2 linked regions of the Rattus norvegicus genome follow. The protein of the gene in region 1 interacts with the protein of each later gene in a pairwise test. Links are inferred from orthologs where the notes say so. Each region holds a gene or a part of one and is shown on either strand. Other genes may lie near its edges.

Region 1 (4,275 bases):
TCCAGGATAGCCAAAGTTACACAGAGAAACCCTGTCAAAAAAACCAAACCAACCAACCAACCAAAACTCAAGTAGGCACTCAAATTTCAGTGAACAGAGTACCAAAACATGGCTATCCAAGACAGGGTCAAGCTGGCCTGGTGTCAGAGGCAGGCAGATTCTGAGTTCCAGGACTGACAGGGCCTGACACTGCTACACCGTGAGGCTCTGTCTCAAACAAACAAATGAGTCAGGATCCCAGGTAGCCCAGATAGCCCTCAGACTCCTGATTCTGATCCCCTACCTCCACTTCCCAAGTACTGTGATTATAGGCACGAACCACCATGCCTGGCCTAGGTCAGATTGCCTTTTGTGGGGCTCAGTAGAGAGGAATCCAGTTTAGAAGTGCCCGCCAGTCACACTGAGTGTTACCAAGGACGAGCATGTCCCCACAATGTCTGCAGCAGCAGACACAGGAAGACACAGCAGACACTGCAACTCTTCCCTCAAGCTTCCTTCCCTCTTATGTCCTGGAAGTTTGGACCACAGTTCCAGTGTCTCCTCCTGGTCTAGACTTCTAGTCCGGGGACCATCCCTATTCAGGCACATTCCTGAAGCCCTAGCAAAACACTGTGCAGCCACAATGTCCCACATGAAGTTGGCGGCTCCCTCAGTTACCTTTTAATGCTATAGTAGATACCATGACCAAGGCAACTTAGGAATGACAAAGTTTAATTTGGGGCTCACATTTCTAAAGGCTTAGAGTCCGTGACCAAAACGGCAGTGAACACAGCAGCAGGCAGGCAGCCAGGAATGGTACTGGGGTTGAGAGCTTACATCTGATTTACAAGCACGAGACACAGAGAGTGTGCTAGCAGGGAAACCTCAAAGCCCATGGCTAGTGACTGACACACCTCATCCAACGCCACACCTCCTGACCTTTCCCAGGTGGGTCCACTGAGGACCAAGAATTCACATATGAGCCTATGGAGGCTAATCTCATTCAAACCGCCTTGTGGCTATAGTGCTGTCTGCCTGTAGGCAACAGTGCCTGTCTTAGAGGTTGACCCCAATCCAATCTCAGTTGCCTGTAACTTGGGTGGGGGCCCCTTACCCTCGAAGTACCAGGTCAAGTCTGAAAAAAAAAGGGGGGCGGGAAGGTCAACTGGAAAAAAGAGTAAAGGGAGGGAGACATGGGGGTACGGCCAGGCATAGTGGTGTACACCCAGAACCCCAACACTCAGGAGGCTAGGGCAGGAGAAATCACCATGGGTTAGAGACTATGGCACTCTGGCTAGGCCCAGAAACACCATGTGACAGAGAACCCAGATACTGGGTACCTTGGTCTCCATCTTAACCCCTGCCACCCTCTCCTAACGAATCAGATCCTGATCTCTCTCTCTTAGTAAGCTTTTATTTACTGTTTGGAGACAGACAGTATCACCAAGGCTGGCCTTGAATTTGAACTCACAATCTTCCTGCCTCTGCACATACACTCCTATGTGCCGAGTGTGTACTACCTCACCCAGCTAAATTTTATTTTATTCTAGTGAGAACTGAGGGGGGAAATATATATTTATATATATACATACACACATACATACAGCTTAGGTTTAGAGTTAGGGATTGGGAGGATAGCAAAATTTCCTCTGAGATCACACCCTTTGGAACTTTCCAGTTTCTTAGAAATGAAAGAAGATATAGCTTTAGAAAAAGGAAATAGAAGTCTCCCCCAGGTTGTCCTTGAACTCATAATCCAGTGCTGAGATTATGAATATCCACCAACGAGTCTGGCTCTCAGAATAGTTTTTGAAGATAAAAGTTATCCTTGCACTTTCTCTTGGCCACATTGGAAAGCCCACAGTGATAAGAATCATCACGAAAGCAGGCAGACCAACGGTGTGGAGAACAAGTCTATTTCAACGGGGACCCGAGGATCAGAGTGCGAGAGTGGCAGGTTGGTGCTCTGTGTGCTGTACCAGGAACAAGGCAGCTTTCTCCTCTTCTGGAATCTTCTCTAGTAAATTTCGGGCAAAGGCCTGCTCCATCTGTGCAGGAGGAAGTGAGGAGCGGCCTCAGTGAGCACTGTAGGGACAGCCACCACCCTGCAGCCCCTTCCCTCAGGGAGTTATCTGAGACAAATCATCACAGAGCTCCATCCCGGGGCTGAACTTACCCGCACCGTGATAAGATTCTCTTGGGTATGGCTAGAGCTAGGACTCCTGTCCCAGAAATGCAGTGTTGCTTGGTACTTGGGTAGAGGTCCCTGGCCCTGGAAGTACTGGGCCAAATCTGAAAGAAAAAGGGTCAAGGATTGGAAGGAAGAAGGCAAGGCATGGCAGTAGGTCAGGCATGGTGGTGTGCGGCCAGGCACGCTGGTCAGGCTGAGGTTGGCAGAGTCACCACATTTGAGGCAGCCTGATCTACTTAGTGAGTTCCAGGACACCCAGAGTGGTATGAGGACTTGCCACAAAAGCAAAAACAAAAAAGATAGAGGGCCATGAGTGAAGTGACACTGCCTGGGGAGCCAAACGCAGAGAAAACTGGGATGGGGTAACTCCGGCACCCAGGGCACAGCAGAAACTGTGGTTTGGTGCTGCGAGGAACTAAGCTGTTCTCCCTGCTGCTGCAGGAAGAGGCAGCCCCTTCCTGCAGTTCACAGGAGCAGATGCTCCTGCTGAGAGGCTCGAAGTCCTCAGAAGCAGCAGCCCTGCCTACCAACCCCTTGGTTGCTTGCCTGCTCTCCCAATACTAGGACAGCACTCTGTCCTCAATGTTCCTCTCTCCACTCCTCCTCGCACATTTAGAGGCTGTGACTGGAATCTCGAGAGTGGACGGGAGAAGGAACAGTCCTAGAAGATGCTTACAATATGGCAGAGAGATGGGAGAGAGGGGCAAGTGTGGGTAAGGTGTCTTGGCTCTTCCACAGAGCTGTGTTTGCCAATGTCTGAGGAGTCACAGGGCTTAAAAATCCACGCAAACTAAACTGTACAAATTCACTTAACCACGCTGCTTCCCCAAGACGTATCACTTAAGAGCTCAACTCCAGCTGACCCTCATCTACCGTGGCCTTGGCTAGGGGAAGTCTGCAGAGTGGAACAATATGGCTACAGAACATGTGTATCACACAACGCAGGGGTCCCACGCAGTGAGGATGAGCTGCTGGGGAGGGTGGTGGGGAAACCCACCGGGCGCACAGGATAACGAGGAAGGGGAGGTCGAGCCGGGACACCCTTACCTCTACAGAAGTATGTGGTACTGAAGAGCTCCACACACTTATTGCTGGGCAGCAGATGAGGCCCAGGCCCAGGTGGGGCCTCGGGTGCGTTCCAGGAGATGGGGATGGGGCAGAGGCGCTGAACAAAGAGGCCTCTGGAATTGCTGGCCACCAGGATGCCTCTCTCGAGCTGATTCAGCAGGCTCTGGGTGGGCTCCAGTGGGTCAGGTCTGGGAAACACCACCTGCTGCACCATGCTGCTCTCCGGGTCTGAGGGCTCAGCCACAAGCCGACAGTCTAGGCTGTGCACCTGGATCTCATGCACCACGCGCCCGCCATAGATGAAGGTGAGCAGCAGCGAGTAGTCTGGGGACAGAAAGGTTCAGGAGGAGCCCTGAAGGCTGCTGGGAGGCCCTCTCCCCCAAGGCAGCCCAAGTAACAAGGCTTTAGAAAAGGGAAGCTCGTTTTGCTAATGGGAAAACTGAGGTCCAGAGCAGGAATCCAAGAAAGCACTGGGAGAGAGAGCAGGGCTGAGACAGCTCCTCCTTTCCTAACTAAAGGTTAGGGAAGGTTCCTTTCATCTGATAATGTGGCTCAGTGGTTGCCTACCATGCTTAAAGCCCAGGCAAGGTTCAATCAGCATAAACCCTTAGGACCCAGCATGCTAGCACATCTGTAATCCCAGGAAGACCAGGAATTCAAGGTCATCTTTAGCTACAGTGCTGTCAGTCTGCCGTCATGAGGCTGTCTTTAAAAAAAGGAAGAAGAGGGCTGGAGAGATGGCTCAGCGGTTTAGAGCACCCGACTGCTCTTCCAGAGGTCATGAGTTCAATTCCCAGCAACCACATGGTGGCTCACAACCATCTGTAAAGAGATCCGATGCCCTCTTCTGGAATACCTGAAGACAGCTATAGTGTACTTATATATAATAAATGAATAAATCTAAAAAAAAAAAAGGAAGAAGAGAAAAGAAAGGTGCCTTCCTTCTCCACATTGATGCTTTCCTCTCTTCCCCCATCACTTGGGAGTCATGCCCATTAGAACTTAATGCTCATGGCTGCAGTGTGTACAAGAAAACC
Region 2 (2,571 bases), on another chromosome or scaffold:
TTCCCAGGCAGGATCACAACTTTGACTGTTTATGGGTAACAACAGGCAGAACTGTCAAGACAAGGCCTAAGAGTAAGGGAGCACGAAGCTACCTGGGCCCTGCTGGCCCCTCCTGTGTGTCACCATCCCTCTCATCTCGCCTCCACCCTCTGGCACAGAATCTGCATGATTTCCCTCTGCTGGGAAGGACATGGCAACTGGCAGGCAGCTTAAAGCAAAGGTTAGCATAACAAGCCAGGAAAGACGGAGACAAGGACCTGGATGGATCCACATCTCAAAGTTCGGTGCTCAAGGGCCAGACTCGAGCTAAAACTACCTCAGAATCTTTAATGGTCACTTAGAAAACTGCAGCTGAAAAAGTAAACCACCATTTAGAACTTGCTAAGAAAAAAAAAACAAAAACAAAAACCAGAGGGTTTTATTTATTTTTCCTAAAGCCATCCTAGTACAGATCCCAAAAGCTGATTATTGAAACCTGATGTGCATTACCCAAACCTGACGGGCTGGGTATGCTGGGGCGGAGGACACAGTGCTCAGGGGGGTGCTGACTCAGAGCTGTCTGGGACCCTGAGGCTTGCTGGAGCATGGCCTGTTAGAGACTAGGCTTCTCACCTGCTGAGGCAACAGTTCCCCCAACACATGAAGTAGGGGCACTTGCGGAACTGCATAGGTAGCCAGATTACAGCACCTGCCCTAAGTGACTTGCAAGCTGTCCCTAGCTTGCCTTCTCTTCCCGGATGCAATATGCAAAGGGATTTACCTTCATGATGTCCTCAGGTAACTTCCCTTCCTCATCCTCATCTGTTGCAGCTGTGAGGAGGGACAAGAGGTTGGCCATGAATGTTTGCCCTGCAGCTCCCCGCCACCTCCCCAAGCCTCCCAACCAGCATCTGCCTGCCCTGGAGATTCCAGAACAGGACACTGGCTTGATGACTCACCCTCCCCAACTACAGAGCAAGGCCGCATCCCACCCCTTCACTTCCTTCCTCACCCTCAGACAACTGAGTGCGGGGAAGCCAGGAGCACTAGCCACCTTTGACCAAGATGTGGCCCAATTCCCTCCCTCTTGGCCTTGAGCACATGAAAGCTCTGAACGGTTTTGTGTCTCAGGAACTTGCTTTCTTGCTATGGGGATAGGGTAAGCAGTGCCCGGCTCCATTGGCTCAAAGGCACATAGGTTTCTTCACCTCCACCCCACAGTGGTTTCTCTGTGAAGGCCTAGCTGTTCTAGAACTCACTATGTAGACAAGGCTGGCCTCCTAATGCTGGAATTAAAGGTGGGTGCCAATGCCCAGCTTGGCACATAGATTTCTAGGCAGACTCTATTCCCCCTCAAGACGCACATGAGGCAGGCCAGTCCCTAAGAGTACAAACCTTCAGAGGTGGAGGGCATGGGCGACACCTGCAAGTTGTACAGATCAGTGGTGCTGTCTGGCATGATGTCCATCTGCATATGCCACTCAGAGAGACTGCTGCTGACGACGCACGGTGACAGAGCTGGGAGAAGGTGCAAGTCAGGACGGGCGTGCTCTCTTAGTTTGCAATACCTGAGCCCCTCCACCCTGCACGCTTCCCTGACAGAGTCCCATGATTATGCCCCACACTCTTCTCTGTTCCCACGATGCCTCTTGGGTGGAACCTAAAAGCGCCCTTGCCACAGTGGCGACCTCACCTGGGGTAATGTCCCTGTCCATGTCCAAGTCCTGACCCAGGTATCCCTGAGCTGTGTAACTGCTGTGGTCATCAGGCAGAGTAGAGCTGCTCAGTCCGTCAGATAAGGTGTCAGGGCTAGAATCTCCGCACAGCTACAGAGAGGAAACAGCTTAGGCCTGCTGTGGCACTTACCCACTGCCCCCCTACCTAAGGCTGGGCTGCTTAGAGTCAAGCTCACCTTCCTCTTGGTTTTGCTCTTAGTGTCACGGCTGGACTTGGACTTTCTCTCTTTCCTCTGGTTCTTGGTGAGGGGTGGCAGCATCCGGTACACGCGTACAGCAGAGCTGCCCTTGTTCCTGCTCTGGTCCTTCACTTCCTCGATGTCTGGTAGGGAGTTCATGGCACACCGGAAGTTTGCCTTCCAAGTCTTGGGATCTGGCTCTTTTTCCCCTGCTTTGTATCGGCCTACAGACCAGGAGAATAAATTCATCCATCAGCCGCTCTCTGGGCTGGGAGAAGAAAGGCAAGGGTACCCCACCCCAGACATCCATACAGGGGTTAACTAGCAAAAACCACTGTCAACAAGTCCTGGGGGTTCTCATATGCCCAGAGTTGGCTCAGATATCCAGCAGGGATGGGAAGGGCTCAAATAGGCTCACTTGAGTGTCTCTACCCCCCATACATGTGCTAACTGTCTTGGACCGAAACTGTCTCCCTGCTTACGTTCTCAGCAGCCAGAGACTTCTGGGACTGAGGCTTATCTGATGTTTGTGAAGTACAAGTGGGCACAGAGCTGGCAACAAGGACAGTTACTAACAGGTCTGAATAGGATCAAGTGCCTGATTCCTGAAAGAAGAAAGGGGGGCCGGCCACCAACCAGATGGGGCTTGGGTCAAGGACCTTTAGTTAGGACCTTGA

The links.
Region 2: the proteins of Irf9 (region 1) and Irf1 interact in a two-hybrid assay, tested with the Homo sapiens proteins (2 studies listed by BioGRID and IntAct). The link is inferred for Rattus norvegicus from reciprocal best matches to the Homo sapiens genes IRF9 and IRF1.

Annotation. Positions count from the first base shown.
Region 1 is NC_086033.1:33,068,301-33,072,575, reverse strand, and holds the end of Irf9 (interferon regulatory factor 9), read right to left. Parts: intron 3,563-4,275; coding exon 3,218-3,562; intron 2,272-3,217; coding exon 2,156-2,271; intron 2,028-2,155; coding exon 1,917-2,027; 3' UTR 695-1,916; downstream 1-694.
Region 2 is NC_086028.1:38,420,908-38,423,478, reverse strand, and holds part of Irf1 (interferon regulatory factor 1), read right to left. Parts: intron 2,119-2,571; coding exon 1,892-2,118; intron 1,806-1,891; coding exon 1,673-1,805; intron 1,498-1,672; coding exon 1,375-1,497; intron 811-1,374; coding exon 761-810; intron 1-760. UniProt on the Homo sapiens protein: Transcriptional regulator which displays a remarkable functional diversity in the regulation of cellular responses.